Linked DNA regions of Canis lupus familiaris. Each later gene encodes a partner of the first gene's protein in a complex. Links are inferred from orthologs where the notes say so. Each region holds a gene or a part of one and is shown on either strand. Other genes may lie near its edges.

Region 1 (10,586 bases):
AGGCCCGGTGCCCCCACCGGCAAGCGGCCTGTAGGTTCATTTGTGGGAAAACGGGTCTAGTTAAAAAACCGCGTGGTGAGTAGTGGTTTCAGCCTGGGGCCATTTTCACGTCCTGTCCACCGTGTAGGACGAAGCCGGGAACAGGAACAGGAAGCCTCAAATGCGCTGCTGACAAAGGACCCGACTGCCCCCCTGCCGGTCGCTTTCATCTTGAGTTTGCATTTGGTGGAGGAGGAAATAAAATCAGAGCCTCTCCGTGCCGGGCGTGTTCCGTGTTCTGGAAGCTGTGTCCGCTTGAGCAGCCCCAACCAGCGCCCGCGGTCGGCGTGTTTTTACTACATTCGGAGTCACGTTCAAGCATCATTCCATCTCATCTAGAGGGATTTTCCCTGAGCGAGTTGTTAAATTTGGAATCGGCGGGGCTCGTGAGTGATGCTCGGATGCGGACGCCCACAGACCTAAGTGGTCTTGCATCACGACGTTGAGTGTGTGGCTTAGGGGCTCAGGGCACAGGGCGAGTCGGGGGGGGCATGGCTCGGGGCGCCTGGACTCAGTCCTGTGACCCTGTCGCGCTCGTGTTCGAAGCAAGAGATGGTGTCGCCGTGGTTGGGAGCTCCCCCGCCCCCCGCGCCAGAGCTGGGCTTCCTTTGGCAACTCCGCACGTGAGCTCCGGCTGACAGGCGACCTCACATCAGCTTCGGGTGCAGCTGGACGATCCAGTGTCTGTACCGATGGTGACGCGACCACCACGGCGAGGTGCAGGCTTCTGTTTTCTCGTGATGAGACCTTTGAAGGTCCACTGTGTTGGCCACTTGCAAGTGCGTGAGACGACGGTGTTGGTGTTGGCAGCGTGCCATGTGCTCCGCGGGACGGGCTCGCCGTGCGGCTGGGCCGGCCTTGGCTCTCTGCATGTATCCAAACCGCACCCCGGCGCGTTGCACGGGGCCGGGAGAATGAAGGGCGGCGATGGGTGTGAAGCGTGGGAGTGAGCGTAAGTCCCTCCTCCGGAGGCTGGGCCGAAAAGGAGAGCCCCGCGGGATCCCCGGGCACCAGGGAGGGGACGTGCTCCCTGCACGCATAGTCGTGCCCCACTTTAATTTCCATATTGAGATTCACTTTGAAGTAAATGCCCCCGAGAGCGAGACCTGTGAGCCCGTGATGAGAATGGGGACCAGGGTCCTACAGGGCGGAGGGGCGCCCGGAGGAAAGGACTTGGACCTGGGGGCTGGGCTGGCGGTAGGGAGGGGACCAGCGGCCCGGCGGCGGGCGGGTGGCCAGAGAGTGAGGACGGGGTGGGTGCCCACGGCCCCCTCCGGAAGGCGCTGTTCTGGGTGCAGATGCTGCACGAAACCAGCGCCCGCCCTGGAGCGGCGGCCCCCGCGTTCCTGACGGCGCAAGCCCCATCGGGGCTGGGCTCAGTGCGGTCTGCTTGCTCTGATGAGGAATTTGCGAGCCTGCAGTGAACCGTGTTCTTCTCCAGGAGCCGACGCAGCTCAAGGCGGGAGGAGCGAGTCCTGGAGGAGACAGCAGGCGGCGGGGGCTCCCTGCGGGGCGCAGGCCTTGCACCTGTGTCCAGGGGCTCTGTGCGCGACCTGTGCTGTGTCCTGGTCCCGCCGCCGCCCCACTGAGAGGCCCTGGACGGGGTCCGAGCTGGGATCAACACCCTCCTGTCGTGGCAGTGGGCCTCTGGCCGCGTCCGTCTAAGCGCCCTCCTGTGCTCCTCTCTGCCCCGCAGCTACGCGTCCCTGATAGCCGACTGGCCCGTGCTGGTGCTGGGCATGTGCACCCTGCTCATCGTAGTCTGCGCCTTGGTTGGGGTGTTAGTGCCGGAGCTTCCCGACTTCTCTGATCCACTGCTGGTAAGGAGAACTCAGCCCATCGCGTCTCTGTGACCTCAGGGAATTAAGTATCTTAATACATGTTGCATTATGTGACTTCTATCCTGTTTCCCCCAAACCTCCTCGAGTCACCAGGAGCTTGCAGTTCTCCTCCTGAAAAGTAAACCCATGTCCTTCAAGTCTCAGGTTCCTAAGAGGTCAACGGACTTGCTCTCACCGACAAACCTGGAGGTTTTCCTCCTTGGCTGCCACGTTTAAGCTAAAAAGCAGTAAAATGGAGAATCTGAATTCTATAAAAATGTTCTCATAATGTCTTTAAGACTGAATGTCTCCCTTTCTCCCCCCGCAGAGCAGTGAAAGGAATTTCAGCATCACAGAGAGATGATAGCAGGGTCTGTTTTTTGGGGGTTTGTTTTTGTTTTTGTTTTGTTTTGTTTTTTTGTTTGCAGGGTCTGTTTTTAAGTACATGTTCCTGTAAAACACTGCATGACATGGTCTGATGTGACCATAATTTTTTGTGACATCCAAGTAAACACCTGCTAATTGCTTAGGTGTGATCTTGAAAGAGAAGCTTCAGATACAGTCCCCCCACCGCCCCCCGCCCGCCTTTGCTGAGACGGATCACGTACCAGGGAGCCTAACCGCGCTGTTGTGGTGAACGGAGGCCACCGACGGGTCGGGCCACCTTCCTCGGTGCTGTTCGTCCCCGGGCAGCTGCGAGCGCGTCCCCGCTTCCTACCGAAGCCACACAGCATCCCAGCACCGCGTCCCCAACCTGCTGGGACCCTACTTACCCTGAAGCAAACCGCACTAATAGGAATTTGTGATATTTTGTCTCAGGGTTTTGAGCCAAGAGGGACTGCGATAGGCCAGAGACTGGTTACGTGGAATAACATGGTGAAAAATACGGGATACAAGGCAACGTTGGCAAATTATCCATTTAAGTACGCAGATGAACAAGCGAAAAGGTAATTGTTTATTAACTTTCACACAAAACCTTGCTGAATGAATTTGACTTCTAAGCATTGCCCGAACAAGATGATTAAGCTCGAAGTCTTTGCTGCTGATTTGTGTACATTCTCGTTGTTTTTTAAGATTTTGTTGTATTAAGGTAAAAAGAGTGAGGGTTTGGTTTTTTTTTTCCCTTTTTATAGATGTGAGAAAATGGATGTTGGTTGCTTATATGCATCCTTTTCATTTCAAGTAGGTCATGACTGAGGGTAGAGCGTTACAGGTGTGCTTGTTGGCCTTGAAACAGCTAGTACTTTATTATTTTTAAGTGTTTATTATCGCGTTGTGGTTAGTTCCGGGCGTAGGACAGCAGTGAGACACGTTTACTCTATGCCGGCTCGCCTCCATCGCTGTTACATAGTTGCTGGCTGTGTGCCCTGTGCTGCTGACGGTACTTTACTCAAGACCACGTTGTTGTTCCGTTTCAGCCATCGGGATGATAGATGGTCAGATGACCACTATGAAAGAGAGAAAAGAGAAGTCGACTGGAACTTCCACAAAGACAGCTTTTTCTGCGACGTTCCGAGTGAGTGGCATCCCAGGTGAACAGCCCCTCGGGGCTCCTCGCGCTCAGAATGGAGCACGATTAAATCCAGACTGGTGGGAAGACGTGTGGGGCACTGACACAGATAGCAGTGACTCGTAGTTTTACTTCCCAGGGTCAGTCGACCACTAAGCTGGATTTATTTGCCTGTAACAAAAGTCAATAAGAGATTTAGTTTAAAGGGACACAAAATATCTAATGAGATTCTTGATCTTGCCCCAAATTCCAAGTCATTTTAAATTTTTTACATTATTTAAAAAATATTGTCAGGTACATATTTTTGGATTGAACCCCTAAAATAATCTACTATCTTAGAGAAATATACTTTTCAAGTCTTATTTCAGAGAGCATATATATATATTTTTAAAATATTTTATTTATTTATTCATGAGAGACACAGAGAGAGAGAGAGAGAGAGGAGCAGAGACACGGGCAGAGGGAGAAGCAGGCTCCATGCAGGGAGCCCGATGTGGGACTCGATCCTGGGACCCTGGGTTCACGCCCTGGGTCTAAGGACATGAGGACCTACAGCTTCTCCCCCAGCGAATCTTCACAGCAGTGCTGTTTTGAACTCAGCTCTTTAAAATCTATTGAAAATGCCCCCAAAATGTGTGCTTTCCTGTCCTGTTAGCTCTCTAGCAGGCCTCACCGGGCCTCTGATGCTTCTAGGTGTAGCTGAGCCTGCGGCACCCACAGCATCAGGCAGGCGCATAGTAGGAGGTCAGGGACATTTTGTCCTGGTCCCGGGAAGGAGCGCACATGGCTTTTTCTGCACTTTTAGAAAATCTGAGCTCTGGTGAATGTCCAGGCTGCTGGGTCTGTCTCGGAGTGGCAGTGTGCATCCCCAGACCGGCCTCCCTTGGCCAGTCCCCACACAGGCCAGATGGGGTCCCTGCAGTCCACACGCACACCCCACCCCTGGCCAGGGCTCCGCCTCGAGGGGGAGATGGCTGTTTCCACGGCCTTGATTTGCTCTTTGGAGTCCACATAGGATAATGGCCGTCGGGTGAAGAGTTCGCTGAAGGAAACCTCCTGGTGGTGAATAAAAGCTCGCGTGGTAAAGCTTTATTCACACGGTCACAGGTGGCCGCAGTGTCGGCACAGCCAGGCGAACTCGTACAAAGTCCCCAGGGCGGACGGAGCGGAAGCGGCGCTGACGGCTCAGCGATGTGTCCTTGGGTTCCCGTGCCTGAGACACGCGTGCCTGCAATGGGGGGCAACAGGGGCGGCAGGCTCCACGACTGGCCTGCGTCCGCGCCATCAGAGCAGTGTAGACCCTGGCCCCTCGGGTCCGGCGGGTTGGTCTCAGTGCTTTTAAACTGACCCCCTGCCGTCTGCCCCCGGCTGACGTCCGTGGAGAACAGCTCAGCGTGTCCTCCTTGGGCTTGTGCCGCGTCCTGGTGCCGCGTCTCCCAAGTCCGGGTTCTCTCGGATTGCGGTTGCTAACCTGTCCTGGACGGCCTGCAAGCCCTCGGTGTCGTGGGTAGGAAGGGACCCCGCTGCCAATGGCCCGTCCTGTGCTCCCCCAGTAGGGCTGCTCCTGGATGCTGAGTCTGATGATGGGAGCGGACAATTATGAACCTCTGTCTTTTCTTTTTCATGTCACCAGGTGACCGGTACTCCAGGGTGGTGTTTGCGTCAGCCGGAGGGGACACGCTGTGGAGCTTACCTGCCATTAAGTCCATGTGCAGCGTGGATAACTCAAGGGTATGTAAAGTGACCCTGGCGTACGTCTCGGACAAACGAGCTGGCATTCGTGCCGGTCGCTTCCCTGCTGAGCCTGGTGAGCGCGGGCGGAGGGTGCTCGCTGGGGCCTCCGTCCTGGTCGCCTGCGTGTGCGCCCCGGGATCCTGGAGCCCCCGTGTGGCCCCCACGGATCCGCCCCCCCCAGCGCAGCGCCCCCTCCTGTGTCCCACGCGAGTTTCCTCCCAGGGCAGCAGTTCAGACGCTGGCTCTCCTTTCCCGGGTGGTCTCTCCTCAGCTGGTTGCAGGGTTTCCCCCGTGTCCTCGTCCCCACAGCCTCTCTGGCAACCAGCGGGTCTCGGGGCAGGTTCAGGGCACGGGCGGGGAAGGGGATGTCCGGGCTCCAGCGTCTGTAAGAGGGGAGTCCCTTGCAGATGGAGGACGCGAGATGGTCCGTGGAGCCTGAGTGGTGGGGCCAAGGCCCCCGGAGAGCGCACTCTGCTGCCGCTGCCCCCGCACCTGCCCACACACAGCCACCGGGGAAGGAGGGCGCCACATGCCTGGCGTGCGTCCTGCGTGTGAGCTCACCGACAGCGGGAGATGCACTTGCACCCGGGCCGAGAGCTGGCCTGGGCCTGGTGCTGTTGTCTACACCGCACACGGGGCTCCTCAGGGGAGGCCGGGCTCCTGGCGGTCAGCGGGCCGGCTCCCCGGCTCCCGACGCGACTCTCCAGCGGGAGGACTGTGTGACCTCCCTCCATCAGGCCGGCCGGGTTTTCCGCACGCGCCATCTGCTCTCGGCTGCGCCCGCACAGACTCAGACCATCTGCAAACAAACCAAGTTCCTGGATCACTGGCCAGCGTCTGCCTGTTGCGTTGTCTCCTCGTCTGCAGCTGTCAGTTCGTCACCCGGAAGCTGGGACATGTTACAAGCCATGCGGTGTGGACCGGTGGCCCGGAGCAAGCGCAGGGCCCCCTGCTCGGCAGCGCCCGCCCCTGCGGGGTCCTGTCTTCGCAGGTGGTGAGGTGACGCCTGTCCCTCCCACCACGTGTCCCTTCCGTCCTGTGTCCTTGTGCCGTTTCTGCTCGGGGTCTTCCGGGAGTCCTCACGGCCTAGAATGTGTAGCTGTTTGAGCTGCGGCTCACTGTTTGGTGCCTCCAGGCTCGCGCGCACCCAGACCCTCACCCGTCCGCTGTGGGTCACGTCGTGACATCCTGCAAAAGTCCTCAGCCGACGTCGGGGGTGGCCCTGAGCCGTTCTAGCCGCGTCTTAGGAGGTGGCAGGAGAACGTCGAGCAGCAGCTATTCCTGCAGGAAGTCAGCGCCGTGACGTCCAAGTGCGTGGCTTCCGGCCGGCCGCGCTCAGTGGCGTCTGCGAAGGGAGGATGGCCCGGATGCAGCGCAACAGGCGAGCAAGCCGGGCAGTCTCCCGGCCACCGTGTCCTTTCACTTGCGGTTTCTGCCGGTTGCGCAGGGCAGCCGCTCCCCGCAGGCCAGTCCTGGGCCCCCCTCGGGGTCCGGCTCCACACCCGCCGAGTGTTTCTGGGACCTCGAGGCCGCTGGAAGCTCCCGGGCTCCTCAGTCCTGCCCTCGTGGAAGTCCGCGCTCAGGCGGCCAGCTTCGCAGGAGGGGTCTGAGGTCACAGCGCCCGTCTGCGGCGTGGGCTTTGGGGCCCCCGGCAGCACCTGCGGGCCGGCCTGTGGCACGTGAGGACGGAGGGGCCCCATAGCAGGACGCGCTCTGTTCCCGTCCTGCTCTCAGCCTTCCGGTGAGGCTCCCGGTAGCCGGCAGTTTACGGGTTAAGGCGTCGTCTGAAGCTCTGCAGCCCACCCCCGCCGCCCTGTCTGGCCCCGGCACAGCCACGGGGTGACCCAGCTCCCCACCCTGCACAGCCCGTGGCCGCCCCATCCCCCGAGCTGTGAGAAGTCACTTCCACTCCCCCTGCGGCGCAATCATGGATTCGTTCGTCTCTCGAGCTGCATCCCCGTGGGTTCAGGCACCAGCGTCCAGCTCGGGGCCACGGCGGCCGTCTCCGTCCTTACTTCTGGGCCCGTCCGGGTCCTGGAGGACCATTGGCACGGTCGCCCGTCGGCCACCTCTGCCTGCAGACCGGGCCGGGCCCACTCTGGATGGCGCTTGGCAGGTGACCCGCCGGTGGATCCGCGTTTATCGTGTCACCGTTGAACCTTTGGCCAAACCACGCTCACTCGCACGCAAACCCTGCTGCCATTTGGAAGGTCATCCGAGGCCCATTGTCTTGGGCTGTGGCCGGCAGCCCTGCTCCCTTCACCGCCAGCGCCTGGCTCCCGAGCCCTGGACGGTGCCCCTCTGCGCGGCCACGGCCTGTCCACCCTCGCTGCCCCCGACCGAGAGCCTCTGGCGTCGGGGCCGCCCCCCTACCAGACGCAGCAGGCCGACGGCCGCTTCCCCGCGTCCCCGGAGTCGGCAGTGTGGACGCCTGCGCCCGGAGGCCACCGGAACTGATGACCCTGTGTCACAAACGCCAACTAACGGTGGCTCTTCAGAAACGAGCTGGCGGATCAGGCTCTTGGGGTGACACCTTAGTCCCCTTGGAATGATCCCCCTTTCGGCTCACTTGTCTTTACCGTCCACAGAGATGTGGGCAGAGCGAGGCTCAGCCCCGCAGAGGAGACACAGTCGCTCTGGCTGCGGAGGAGGAGGCTGAGCCTCATGCACATGCGTCCGGGTTGTGTGGTGTGGAGGCCCGGACCCCCTTGGCCTTGGCGTTGTGTCTCGGTTTCCCTCCCGCCGTGGAGGAAAGGCTGCGTGCACCGTGGGTGCACTTTACCAGATGAGCTCAAAGGATGCACACGTCGTCGGCTGCCACTCAGTATCCATCTCACCTGCGTGGACGGATGGGACTGGGCACCGCGGCCCGTTGTGCTCATTGCTTGGGGATGCCCTTGGCTGTGGCCCCGCGCACTGCGGACATCGGTGTCTGGCGTCAGCCGGGGGCTCGCTGGTGCTCTTCTGGGCAACCGTTTTCTTGGCTTTCCGTTAAGTTGGTTGCATTCGTGCCTTTGTCGCCCGGAACCTCAGGCCGATGACCGGCGGTTTTGGGCCAAGGCAGCAGCTGGCGTCCTGTGCCCTTGAGCCCCCCAGATGGAAGAGCACAGGCCCCGCCGTCCCTTCCTTTGCCCTGAAAGTGCCTTTGAAAAGGCCAGTCTCCTCGAGAGCTGCTGGTTTTACCTCCTCGTTAAGACCAAGGCCACACTGGAGGTTTTTTGGGCACTTTGCCACCTGGAGGGACGCGCCGGGGGGACTGTGGGGGGAGGCTTGGGGGAGGCCGTGCACCTGCCCCCCCCCCACAGGCCTTAAACGCTGGTGTCCGCGTGTCTCTCTCTGCAGATCAGAGCCCACCCGCAGTTCGGCGACCTGTGCCAGAGGACCACGGTGGCGTCCTGCTGCCCCAGCTGGACGCTGGGCAACTACATCGCCATCCTGAACAACAGGTCGTCCTGCCAGCAGATCGTGGAGCGGGACGTGTCGCACACGCTGAAGCTGCTGCGGGCCTGCGCCAAGCACTACCGCAACGGCACGCTGCAGCCCGACTGCTGGGACGCGGGCGCCCGCAGGAAGGGCCAGCTCAAGTGCAGCGGCGTGCCCCGCAAGTGCGTCAAGTACAACGCCGTGTACCAGATCCTGCACTTCCTGGTGGACAAGGACTTCCTGGCCCCGAAGGCGCCCGCCGCGCCCACCGCGCCCACGCTGAGGTACAGCATGCTCTTCTCGCCCACGGAGAAGGGGGAGAGCATGATGGACATCTACCTGGACAACTTCGAGAACTGGAACGGCTCCGACGGGGTGACCGCCGTGGCCGGGATCGAGTTCGGCATCAAGCACAGCCTGTTCCAGGACTACCTCCTGACGGACACAGCCTACCCGGCCATTGCGGTGCTGCTGGTGCTGCTGGTCATGTGCGCCTACACCAGGTCCCTGTTCATCACCCTGATGACCATGTTTGCCGTCATCAGCTCGCTGATCGTGTCCTACTTCCTCTACCGCGTGGTGTTCAACTTCGAGTTCTTCCCGTTCATGAACCTGACGGCGCTGGTCATCCTGGTCGGCATCGGTGCGGACGACGCCTTCGTCCTGTGCGACGTGTGGAGCTACGCCAAGTGCGACAGGCCGCACGCGGCGACGGCGGAGACGGTGGGCGTCACCCTGCAGCACGCAGCGCTGTCCATGTTCGTCACCAGCTTCACCACGGCCGCTGCCTTCTACGCCAACTACGTGAGCAACATCACCGCCATCCGGTGCTTCGGGGTGTATGCAGGCACGGCCATCCTGGTGAACTACGTGCTCATGGTCACGTGGCTGCCGGCCGTGGTCGTCCTGCACGAGCGCTACCTCCTCAACCTGTTCAGCTGCTTCCGGAAGCCGCAGCCGCAGGTGTACGACGGCAAGAGCTGCTGGACGGCCGCCCGCCGGAAGTGCCACAGGGCGCTGCTCGCCGCATCCGAAGCCTCTCGCGTCTTTTTCGAGAAGGTGCTGCCGTGCGTCGTCATCAAGCTCCGCTACCTTTGGCTGCTGTGGTTCCTGGCCCTGAGCGTGGGCGGGGCCTACGTGGTGTGCGTGAACCCCAAGATGAAGCTGCCCTCGCTTGAGCTGTCCGAGTTCCAGCTGTTCAGGCCCTCGCACCCCTTCGAGCGCTACGACGCCGAGTACAAGAAGCTCTTCATGTTCGAGCGCGTCCACCGCGGGGAGGAGCTGCACATGCCCATCACGGTGGTGTGGGGGGTGTCCCCGGAGGACAACGGCGACCCCCTGAACCCCAAGAGCAAAGGCAAGCTGGTGTTGGACGGCAGCTTTAATATCGCCAGCCCCGCCTCCCAGCTCTGGATCCTGCGCTTCTGCCAGAAGCTGAGAAACCAGACCTTCTTCCACCAGACGGACGAGCAGGACTTCACGAGCTGCTTCATCGAGACGTTCAAGCAGTGGATGGAGAACCAGGACTGCGACGAGCCCGCGCTCTACCTCTGCTGCCGGCGCTGGAGCTTCCCCTACAAGCAGGAGATCTTCGAGCTGTGCATGAAGAGGGCCATCATGGAGCTGGAGAGGAGCACCGGCTACCACCTGGACAGCAAGACGCCGGGGCCGAGGTTCGACGTCAACGACACCATCCGGGCCGTGGTGCTGGAGTTCCAGAGCACCTACGTCTTCACGCTGGCCTACGAGAGGATGCACCAGTTCTACCAGGAGGTGGACGCCTGGATCTCCCGGGAGCTGAGCTCGGCGCCCGAGGGCCTCAGCAACGGCTGGTTTGTCAGCAGCCTGGAATTCTACGACCTGCAGGACAGCCTCTCCGACGGCACGCTCATCGCCATGGGGCTGTCGGTGGCCGTGGCCTTCAGCGTCATGCTGCTCACCACGTGGAACGTCGTCATAAGCCTGTACGCCATCGTCTCCATCGCCGGGACCATATTCGTCACCGTCGGCTCTCTGGTCCTGCTGGGGTGGGAGCTCAACGTGCTGGAGTCGGTCATCAT
Region 2 (11,233 bases), on another chromosome or scaffold:
GCCAGCCCGCGCACCCACGAGGCCCCGGGACGAACGCGTCCCGGGCCTCCCGCCGTCGCCGAGCCCCGCCCGGTGGGGGCGCCGCCTGCCAGCCCCCCCTCTCCGGTCGCCCCTCCCACACCTTCTCTCCCTGTTGTGGTAAGAGGCCACTATTTTCCTTCCCTACCGAGTGTGTCTTGACACCTTGGAAGTGTTTTCCTACTAACACAAGCCATGAAAATACAGTTTGGGAGACAAATAGGCAAAACCGGGTGGGGGGTTGCTGGGAAGACAGCGCCTCCGAAATTCACTGTGACCTGTGCTGCTAAAGGCACCGACTTCTGCTGAGAGATGGAGAGATCCACACAACCAGCCTCCAGGCTGGGATATCTGCATGGGCGCAGGGCCTCCCTGGCATGGCTGTTCCTCGCCAGCGACAGCGAGTGGCGTTGTAGGCCCAGGGAAGCCACCCGCTCGCCAGAGGCCGCGCTGCTGCAGCTGCAGACTCTGGGCCCGGGCTCAGGGCAGCCCAGCTGGCTCCTAATAAGCACGGATGCTTCTGGGCTTGCGGCCTCAGGATGTTGGAAGCGGTGACCACTGGGTTTATGACCTCCCACCAGGCCTCTCTCCAGAGGCTCAGCCAGTGAGTTAAGTTAGTTTAGTGTCCGCAGACGCCCACTGGGGATGGTGGGGGAGAGGACGAGGGGCCTACACCCCGGGCAGAGCCTCCAATGCGGGGGTCGAGTGGGGGCTGGTTGGCTCTTCAGCCTTCAACGAGACAGGAATCTAGGCCAGACCCGGCTAGCCCAGCCGTGCAGGGCTGCAATCTCTCATCAGGAAAGCCCCCTCCCCCATCTTCCCTGTCTCCGCCACCTGCAGTGGGGGCTCCGGAAACAGGGTGGGGGAAGGCTCAGGAAGCCAGATGCCCTCTGCATCTGGGCTTGGAGAACCTCGGGGCCTCGGTGGTCTCAAGGGTAGGAGCCACTTTTGGCTGGCGGGACCCACCAACAGGCTCTGTTGGCACACCAGGGACTGACTTACCAGCCAAGCCCCTCCCTCCCCCTGCCCCTCCACCAGCACGTTCATCCTTTCCCCTCGCATCCGCCGTGGGGCCCGACAGTGACACGTCGCGGGCAGATCGGGGGCTGCTGGTGGGCCGGGGGGGGTGCTTCGTGGGCACAGGGTGGGGGCTGTGGAGTAGGGCAGGCCCGCCGCCTCACCTGCTTTCACAGAACAGTGGATGTGCGCCTTGGACTCGTAGTACACCCAGTCGAAGCCGGCCTCCACGGCCAGGCGGGCCAACATGCCGTACTTGCTTCGGTCGCGGTCTGACGTGGTGATGTCCACCGCGCGGCCCTCATAGTGCAGCGACTCCTCTGAGTGGTGACCGTCCTCGTCCCAGCCCTCCGTCACCCGCAGCTTCACGCCGGGCCACTGGTTCATCACCGAGATGGCCAAGGCGTTCAGCTTGTCCTTGCACCTCTGCGGAGAGAAGGGGCCCCACGGGCATTAGTACCGGGTCTGCACCCCCATCCCTGCCCTGCAGGCTGCCCTGCTGGGTCCCTGAGGGTTAGGACTCTGTGGGGAGTCGGGAGGAGGCCTGGGTGGGGCCGGCAGGCTCCGGGGAGCACTGAGGTGGGAGGAGGGGGGGGCATCCGCTGGAGGAGCCAGTCCTCTTGCAGGTAAACTGAGGGCCTGTCTGTGAGGTCTGACTGGCAGAGCCCCCACCACGGCCTGAGAAGGAGGGGACTCTTCTTGAGACAAGGAAAGTGTGTCTCCCACGGTCACGGCAGGGCCTGCCAGGCCCCCTCCCCCACGCTGCCCTCCACTCCCGATCCCTTCCGGTGGCCCCGTTTCTGCACACCTGTGCGAGGCTCCACCTTCGTGCCCGGCCTAACTCCCTCCCCGGGAGGCCAGAGCCAGGCCCAGGGCGCAACTTGGCAGAAATAAAGAACGTGCGCGGTATGCTTCTTAAAGAGCGAAAGCCTTGGGTTATCTCTGGACCCTCCCTCCTACCCTGTGCCTATCTGAGGCGTGGGTGCCGCCAAAGGGAGAGAGGGGGGTGGGAAGCCGATAGCCCCGCCGGCGGGGCGGGAGGGGCCCGAAGTGAAAGGCAAGCAGGTGAGTAATAATTTTCAATGCGGGCCAGGCCTAACGACAAACATTCTTTATCTGGACAGCCACATTCCTTTTCCCCATAGACCTCTTTTCTCCGGCTTTTCTGTGGTCTGATTGTGTCTCTTGTTTTCCTTAACCTGTTCCCTCCCCACCCCTTGTTTTCTTGGCCCCGAGCAGAATGGCGTCCGGCTAGTTTGAAGAGCAAACTTAAGAGGTGGAGGGAGGGGGCGGGGCAGGAGGGGTGGGGGAGGGGGAGCCCGAAAGGCCCGAGGCCTCGGAGCCCTTGGGGAGTGCCCCTCCCTCCCCGAGGAAGCTGCTCTGGCCGTGGATGTGCAGAAACACTGAGTGCACAGGACACGAACCGGGGCGAAGTGAAACTCGGGGTCAGGGGAGTCCCCGCCTGAGTCTCGGGTCACATTCAGATAAGGATGCTAGAAAAAACAGAGCCATGGCAAGCGTGTGCGCCCGCGTGGGTACCCGCTCAGGGCCCGGGCGCTTACAGGGACGGGGACGCGGGATTCACAGGAGGGGGAGTGGTGGCAGGATCCCCCAGGGGCATCCCCAAGAGACGCAGACCTGGGGGACGCGGGGCAATTTCAAGTTGACCTCCCGCAGAGGGTAGGGCTGGTCTCCTTCCCGCAGCGCATGCTCGGCTTTGGAACCTGGTAGGCGGGGAGGAAGGAAGACCCGGTCGGGGATCCTAATAACAGCGTGGGGACTGCTTTCCTGCTGAGCGAGGGGAGCTGCCGCGGTCCCGCTGTCCGCGCTCTACGGGGATGTGGAGATTGCGCAACAGGAAACGTCCTGCGTGTCGGACAGCAATAAAACCAGCAGTACGGTAGTCGAGTTAAACATCCAACAAATGGGGGGGGGGGGGGCGGCCCTGGTAACAGGTCAGCGCTGGCAGGTTTCTGGGCCTGCCAGCAGTTTTCTTAAAAAAAAAAAAAAAAAAAAAAAAGTCGGAGGGGCAGAGTTTGAGTGAGGTCATCTTGAGGATTGAACGCGTTTTACATGAAAATCAATCAGTAAACCGGGGTCAGTTCGGAGCCGGGCGGGGAGGCCGGCTGCGCAGGCGCGCACCACCGACACGCACACGCACACCTCCCGCATCCCGAGCCCCGCGCCGCCCGGGCTCGCTCCTCTCGGGGCTCAGAGGGGGCCCGCACGGCTCCCCGCGGGACGGCGGGTGAGGGCAGGGAGCGCGGGGAGGCCGCGTGCCCGCCGCAGGCGCCCTGAGCTGCGCCCCTGGGGCATGGGGTGGATGGAGGACCCCCGGCGAGGAGCCCCAGGCCGCGCCAGGCCCGAGCTGCGCCCTGCTTCCCGCGCGCCCCCGCCCCCCCGCGCCCCCCGCGCCCCCCGCGCCCCCCGCCTGGCGCGGCCTCGGCCCTCGCCTGCGGGACGTGGTGCCCCCGCCGGCCGGAGAGGCGCAGGCGAAGCTGGGACGCCCAGGCCGGTTAGCCATTCACTGGGTCGTGTGCTGCGAATCAAGCCGGGCTCTGTGCAGCCACCGGAAAGCCCAGCGGGGCCGCGGGGCCGGCTTTGTGTCGGCGGAGGCCGAGTGCGTCCTCGCGCCGAGCCCCGCCACCCCCGGGCCGCGCAGCCGCCCCGAGCCCACCCGCCCGGGCGGGACTGTCACCGCCACAGGGCGCCTGGCCGTCCCGGCGCGGGGGAGGGGTGTCCCGACTTCAAAAGAGACACCCCCCCACACACACACCTGTCTCCGCCCCTCCACCCCCTCCGAGGAAACAGACCCGTCCTATCCCAACAGGAGCGCCCTCCTGGAACCCACACCTGAGCGCGGGCCCGGGCCGCCACGCACACGGGGATCTACCCGGCGTGGCGTCCCGGGCTGTCCCCGCTGCGGCCCCAGGCCCTGCCCCGGCGGCCGCCTCCTGCCCCCCGAGCCCCCGGCCGCCGCGCCCGCGCCTGGCACCCGCGCCTGCGGGCCGAGCGTGTCTGTCTGCGCTTCCCCCTCTCCGAGTTAATATTAACCAGGAGCTCATGCGTTCCAGAACTGCTCCGAAAGTTCCACCGGGGACGGTCTTGCCATGGTTGAGGGACTCGGGCGGCGGCCACAGTGCAGAGACGGGGACGCGGAGGGACGGCTGGCCCGGGGCGCAGAGACACGCGCACCTGGGACAGGATGTCCGTGGTGGCTTTGAGTGCGCGGCCAGCGGGCCAAGGGTCCCGAGCAGAGCTAGTCCCCGGGGGCCAGGAGGCGGCCCCGCTGCACCCCTGCCCCCGGCCCTGCCCCTGCCCCTGCCCCTGCCCCTCGCCGCCCGGTCCTCCCCGACTCTTGGAACCAGGGAAGGAGGAAGGGCGCCTTCCGGCACCACCCCACCAGCCAGCCGCCTTTTCGGGGGACATCTGTGGGGTGCGTGACACCGTCCTAGCCAGGCTCTCCCCACCCCACCCCCACGTTGGCTGCCCCTCCCCCGTCCTTTTGTGCCGGGAACGGGAATGGCCACTGCCTAAGGAAAGAAAAGTATTTGTTTTCGTTTCGTTCGTCTGAGGGAAGTTGACAGAAGGTCAGAAGTTCAAATGCTGCCAGCGCGCGCGGCGGCGACAGTGGCCGGCGCGGGGCCGCTCGGCCGTGGGTGCCCGGCGGGCGACCGGAACAGGGGCCGGCCGGGGCTCGGCGGGGGCGCCAGGCCCCAGGGCCCCCGGGAGCGCGGCGGAGCTCCCGACCGTCCGGCCCGTCGGAGCCTCGCCGCCACCCCGGCCCCCGCCCCGCGCCCCGCGCCCCGCGCCCTAGCCCCGGCCTTGGGGACCGCTAACCCGGGAGGAAGGGGCGTCAGGTGCGGCCGCCGGGGGGCGCGGCTCCGCGCGCTCGCGCACCTGCGACCTGTGACCTGCGGCGGGGCCCCGGGGGATCCCTCTCCCGCGTGGGCCCCGCGCGGCGGCAAGGGGCGCACGCCCACCTCGCGGGCTGTGGGACCTCCGCCGCCCTCCCCGTACCCCTCCGCGCCCCACCGCCGGCCCGGCCTCGCCTCCCGCCTTCCCGGTTCCGAGGGACTCCGGGAAGGCCACCTCCCTCCCGCGGGGGAGCCAGGTGACCCAGGTCAGAGGGCTCCCCGCGGCCGGCCGCGCCCCCGGCGCCCCGCGGCCTGTGCCCGGTTCATTGTGGCTCTCGCCGCTCTCCGGCACAGGCGCGCGCGTCCACACTCGCGGTCCAGATTTAAGGTGGTCGCGAGCAGATGCGCGAGCGGGGCATGGAGACCCCGTCCCCGGCTCCCTCGGGCCCCTCCCGGCAGCTCCCCTCCCTCCTCCCTGCGGCCTCGCGGCTGGGACCGCGCTGGGGAGCGAGCGGCCCGGAGGGGGCTCCCCTCCCCGCGCGCCCTCCTCGGTCCCCGCGCCCCACCGCCGCGGCTCCGCCAGCTGTGGTGCGCTCCTAGCCCGAAAGGTAGGACTTGGATATTTTAATAGGGCAATAAAAAGGATGTTGACCTATATTTGCCAGGAAATCCATTTCTAGCTTCAGTTATACGGGCATGGAGTTTGAGAAAGTCTAGGGCTGGCGGAGGGGTTGGGAGCCCGAAGTCTCAGGCAGAGGTGGGGAGGGAGGGGGCTACGTGTTTGGCTTTGGTTCTGCATCGTCCTAGCCCCCTCCCGCTAACAGCTCGCCGCGGCTCCGGGTCCCGTGCCAGCAGGTTGACCGTAGTGATGCAATGCCAGGAAGTTCTAAGTCCCTCCCCTCAAGGACCGCGGGCTCGGGCTCGGGAGAATGGAAGCGCATCCTTAAAGAAATATCAATACATTCACACTCTGATGGGCACCACTGCCCGGGGTCGAATGGCAGCGGAGCTGTGCTGTACACTCGGGGGCCAGGTGGCGCCTCGGGAGCCCCAGCCTTTTGTCAGCGCGGCCTCGGGGCTCTCCCCATTGAGCGTCTTTGGGGGGGGCAGAGGGGTGGGGGTCGCCGTGGTAGAGAAAAGCACAGTGGACAGGGAGAAACGTGTCCGCTCCCCTAAGGCTAATGCTCTAGGCTGCATTTGTACAGTGACCTGGAAGCTACTTTATGCGTATGGAGGGGATTTCTGCCCCTCTCCCACCATGTCCATTCCCAACTCCGGAGGGGCGGATACCCCCAGAGTGAAGGTCTCCCCAAGTTACAAGGCAGAGCCCAGGCAGGATGGGAAGGCCATCCTGGCAGGACAGAGCAAACAAGGGCCATCGGTGGACCACGTCTGCCATCCTGACCCCCACCCCCACCCTAAACTTCTCGGGCTGGACCCCTGGCCTCCATTCCCTTCTGAGAAGAGGAAGGGATGTCGGGCAGGCAGGTGGGTGGGGAGGGAGAGGGTGAAGTCGCCTTGCTATCTGCCTGAAGAGCAAACAGACTGGGTCTGGAGCGGCTGGTTACACACAACCCCCGTGAAAGCAGTACATTCCACGCCGCGGCGCTGGGTTTCTACCTGAGTCATCAGCCGGTCTGCTCCCGTGTTTTCTTCATCCTTAAATATGATGTCGGGGTTGTAATTGGGGGTGAGTTCCTTAAATCGCTCCGAGTTTCTCGAGATCTTCCCTTCGTATCTTCCACTGGCCCCTAGGGTCTTCTCCGCCACGTTGGGGATAAACTGCTTGTAGGCTAAAGGGGTCAGCTTTTTGGGGTGCCGCCTCTTCCCAAATCCCCTGCCGGGTCCGCACGCCAGCCCTGAGCACATCAGCAGTGCGCAGACGAGCACCGCCAGCATACATCTCGCCAGCAGCAGCATCTCGTCCGCGGAGCCCAGTGCCTTGCCTTCCACGCCGTCCCCGCGCGGGTCTGTGTGCGCGAGTGCGAGTATGTGTGCCTGTGCGCTCGGGCTTGCGCTCTCCCTTCCTCGCTCGGCTTGCTGCTGGCTCCCTCGCTCTCTGCCTGGCTCTTTCTCTTCCTATATAACCTCGCCCGCCGCTGCTGCGGGAGAGTGGCCACCGATCCCCACCCAGACGGGGGCTGGAGTGGCAGGCTGCTGGCCGCTGATAACGGAACACATCGGAGTTAGGGCTGGAAACAGCAATCAAAAGACAAAAAGAGTCTGATTTTAAATGGTAGCAAGCCTGGAGAGCTTGCGAGACAGGCTGCCCTCGGTGCTATATTATAGCTGGCAGGGGCGTATCTGATTGGCCAAAGCAGCGCAAGCTTGTCTTCTGATGTTTAACCCTAAAAAAGACTAAATTTTTTTTTTCTGTGGCTGCAGTTGCTTTATTTTCACCTGAAGCCTTTGAGTTAAAAAAAAAAAAAATCTTTCCTGAGACAAAGGTGGGCGGGAGGGAGGAGGCACGCTCCTTAGGATAACACTAGTTACCTCCTGCTTTGTGCACAGCGCGGTGTTCCCCCTTCTCTTTCTCCAGAATGGTAGGTGCTTCAGTTAAAACCAACTTAAGTTTTAAAGGACAGTCTAGACCCCCCCTCCAAGCTTCAGTCATCAAACAAATATTCTCTCAAATGTTTGAGGGGCAAAGCTGCCCGGGTCCTGTTTAAATTTTTTTTTTTTTTTGGAGACTTTATCATGCAGGCCAAGTCTCCCTGCATTTTAAAGACAGAGGGTCTGCGCCTCATCCTGAATATTCAACATCCTTGGACGGTGGTCATTCTCACTGACCACAACTTCCAGCACGGCTATTTGAAGTGCTTTAGGTGCCTTAGACAAATATGAAAATGCCGCTCCTTTATTGTGTTTCAGCTAAGTCGTTATTTTTAACCCCCTGGAAATGGGATGCAGGCAGGCTCCGGGGCTGGTACAGAGTGGCCTGAGGGACTGTCCAGAAGGCTGGGCCAAGTGCATCTGGGTGCTGCACCCCAGCTCAGAGGAGGGAGCCGGTGCTAGGGCCTGCGTGCTGGGCGGAGGCCCATTGTGCCTGGGGGCAGTGGCGAGTGGGCAAGGCTGTGCACACACCACCCCCACTGATCAATCGATCGAGCAAAGTGCAGGCCAGGGATGAGCTTGATGTGGAATTCAGGCTCCTTCCACATCGGCCGCGGGCTTTCCATGGGGCTCTGTGAGCCAGCCCTCAGGGTCCTGGGGGCCCGAAGCTCACTATGGGGAAGGGGCCTGGGGGCACATTTTTTGGTCAAGGAGGGCACAGTCCTCAGAGCCCGTAATACTGGAGTCCCCAGTCCCTGTGCTTCTTTCAGGAAAAAAAAAAAAAAAAAAACCTAGAAGTGCTATTTAAACCAGAAAAATAAAACCTGAAACCCCCCATTTTGCAGAACACAGCCTCTTCTCATTCCCCACCCCCATCTCACTCATATATAGGAATTGCTCTAGAAAAAGAGCAAGGGAGGGAGGGCTCTTCCTGGAGAATGGGGGTGTTGGTCCTGGAGTGTTACTCTGTGAAGTTAGAAGTGTCCCTGGACCCCAGTCCAGCCAGGGAGGTGGGAGAGGCCAGGTCTAAGAAGAAGGCTGGGCCCTCAAAACAATGGGATGTCCGGAGCAGCCCAGGCCAACCTCAGTGCAGATGGATCTGGTTAGGGGGGTGGGCAGGGGAGCACCTTGACAGCCATCCAACTGGGCCTTGAAACGGCTGAGTGGATATGGGGGCTCTGCCAGTCAGGTCCCCAGTGGTCCCCCCAGGCTTGGCCCCCAACCCCCATCATCAACATTCTCTGGGGAACGCCCACCCCTGGGCAAGGTGGGGAGGCAGCACCCAGTTTTATCAAGGCCTACGGATGAAGGAGGGTCTCCATGCAGATGATAAAGGGCCAGACTTCTTGCCCAGGCTGTGTGTGTCTGTGCGTCTGTGCTCCCAGTAGACAGATTCAGAGAGGACACTCAGGTCTTGGGCTGCCACTGGGTGGTGCGGCCTTGTGAAGCTGCCCAGCCCTGGGGACTGGGGGCTCTCCACCCTTCTGGGCTCCTTCCCCCACACCCTTGCCGGGTCCCCTCCTCTCCCCCTTCTCTTCCCTCTGTCCTCTCCCTCACCAACTAGACAGAGGTGAAAGAGCCCCAGCACTGGGTCATGACCTCGTGCCCAGGGCCTGCGACCCCATGTGGAGCCCAGGGCCAGCTCGGTGGTGTGTGCCTAGGACACATGATTCCCAAAGGTGTGGGTATCCAGGCCCCACACTCACCGTTGTGCCTTGCATGACCCTGGAGACCCCCAGCCCAAGCCTGAGCCTGAGCCACAGGGAGCAGGCTGCCTCTGGGCCAGGAGCAGGAAGGGCTCATGCCTTGACACTGCACTCCTCAGGGCGACCAGGGGGTCCCAGGCCTGCTGGCCTCCTGCCCCCAAGATGCCCCTCCATCTCACTGCCAGCCCAGGATACCCCAGATGCCGCCAGGGGCCGCCTGCCCTAGGACTGGCCTGTCCTCAGGAATGAAGTGACGGTGGATGGTCAAACAACCATCGACACCCTATTTCCCAGCGTAGGCTCCCTGCTGTGGGTTGGGGGGAAATCTGGACAAAACTCAACTGTAGTGTATCTGTATTGCTTCAGAAGCAAGGGCACCGGCAAGCCCCCCACTTCCCCTTCCGATCATCCGCCCCCTCCCCACTTCTAGACACCAGACATGCTGTCTTCCACCTCCAGACACCAGATGGCTCCCTCTCTTTGCCTTTCCCCTCCAGACGATGGGGGGGCCCCTCCCCACGGAGGTCAGAGGTTCCAAACCCCAGCCTCGGCCTGACCTGGCCAGACCTCCGGCACCAGCCAGGGACCCATTTCTCACTGTGGGCACAGAGGGTCACCGGCCACCATCCCTCCCCCCGCCCCCCCCCCGGCGCCTTGCCCCTCCCTCCTCTCCTCCCCTCCCCCTCCCCCGCCATCCCTCCAGCCCTCACCAGCATCCCCGCTGCGGACAGGTGGCTGCCTGTCTTCTGCCCCCACCCCCCCAGGCGCCTCCTGGGCCTGCCCCCGCCTCCCAACCGGCCCCCGCCACTAGATGGCCTCCTCACTCTGCCTTCAGGCTGTGGCTCGGCCAGTTTGGGAAATCCTGCAGACCAGACTGAGGCCCCCTCCCCCTCCCGGCCCCCTCCCCAGGGCTGTGACCCCTCGTTTCCCTCTGCTCACATCAGTCCCCACTAGGCCTCATGGCTGGAGCTCTGCCCCCCACCCCAGGAAGCTGTCGCCTGCCTCGCTTCTCCCCAGGGCGGGTGCTCCTGAGACCTGAGTTAGGGCTGCAGGCTCACACTTCCTCCCAGCCCTTCCCTTCCCTTGCTCTTCCCCGTAGGACTTCTACTCCATCTCTCCTCCCTCCAATTGGGTCTCACTTTGGCAACCTGAAGTACTGTGGCTGCAGCCGGGACCCCTGATTTTTGGAGGGATGTGACCCTCCAGAACTGTTCTCCCAACCCCATGGCCTTTGCTCCATCCCTGGACTCGGGGGATCTGAGTCTCCCACTTCCCACTTCCCCAGCAGGAAGAGCCCCGCTGTCCCTTTATGAGTAGAGTCCACCTGCAGGTGAATACAGGCCACAGCGCCCCTGCCTGCCCCGAGGCCACCCAACAGGGGTCCGCTCAGTGGCTGGCCTCCCTGCATCTGTGTCTCCATCACCCAGGCCAGCAGTGGGGAGGAGGCCACCCTGACCTGTAAGGCCTATGCTTCCTGGCCCTGGGTGGGGGGGCCCTGGCGTCCCCTGGGCTCCCAGCACTTTCTGCAGCAGGAGCACAGATGATGTCCCAGGGCCCATTCCATCCCTACATGATCCCAGTCCTTCTCTTGTCAGTTTGGCTCAGCAAGCCGTGGCAGGCTGGTGTGCCCAGGGTGCTGCCCTCCCCGAGGGGATGTGCTTGTGTCCTGGAGTGGGGACCTTCCTGTTGATCTGTCCCTGTCACACAGAGCCCCTGGGAGGCAAAGAGCATGCCCCTTCCCCAGGACTTGCCCAGCCCGTATGGCACTTCGCTCACACAGCAAGCAGTGACCTCGGGGCTTGGTGCAGGAGGACGCTGACATGCTGGAAGACCACCCAGCCAGCTGCTGAGATGGAAGGCCAAGTCTTGACCAGTGGACGTACTAAGGCAGACACACTCAGCGTGAAATGCCCTGCTTTCTGAAGTGCAAGCTCCTCTCTCCAGATCAGCCTCCCCTCTGGGGGGGTCACTTACCTTCATTCTGAGCGGGGGGGTGCTTCTCCGCAGGTCTAAACAATGCCTAGGGGTGTGGCCCTTCCAGCTTCAGGGTGGTTTCACCAGGGAGCCACAGACCTCCTGTGT

What was found.
Region 2: the proteins of DISP1 (region 1) and SHH are in contact, whole or in part, in a cryo-EM structure (PDB 7E2I), measured with the Homo sapiens proteins. The link is inferred for Canis lupus familiaris from reciprocal best matches to the Homo sapiens genes DISP1 and SHH. Residues at the interface, in NP_001356523.1 of Homo sapiens: Lys242, Thr244, Gly245, Tyr246, Lys247, Ala248, Glu260, His265, Arg299, Phe336, Gly337, Asp338, Leu339, Cys340, Gln341, Arg342, Thr343, Glu459, Arg899, His904, Asp906; in NP_000184.1 of Homo sapiens: Pro49, Asn50, Val51, Thr55, Leu56, Gly57, Ala58, Arg68, Glu71, Phe73, Lys74, Leu76, Thr77, Pro78, Tyr80, Pro82, Arg96, Leu97, Gln100, Lys186.

Annotation. Positions count from the first base shown.
Region 1 is NC_049259.1:24,588,342-24,598,927, reverse strand, and holds part of DISP1 (protein dispatched homolog 1), read left to right. Parts: exon of another isoform or gene 1-991; intron 992-1,735; coding exon 1,736-1,859; intron 1,860-2,678; coding exon 2,679-2,806; intron 2,807-2,902; exon of another isoform or gene 2,903-3,277; coding exon 3,278-3,375; coding exon of another isoform or gene 3,376-3,391; exon of another isoform or gene 3,392-3,540; intron 3,541-5,002; coding exon 5,003-5,100; intron 5,101-8,445; coding exon 8,446-10,586. UniProt on the Homo sapiens protein: Functions in hedgehog (Hh) signaling. Regulates the release and extracellular accumulation of cholesterol-modified hedgehog proteins and is hence required for effective production of the Hh signal. Synergizes with SCUBE2 to cause an increase in SHH secretion.
Region 2 is NC_049237.1:19,389,117-19,400,349, forward strand, and holds the start of SHH (sonic hedgehog protein), read right to left. Parts: upstream 7,143-11,233; 5' UTR 6,813-7,142; coding exon 6,513-6,812; intron 2,931-6,512; exon of another isoform or gene 2,668-2,930; intron 1,462-2,667; coding exon 1,200-1,461; intron 1-1,199.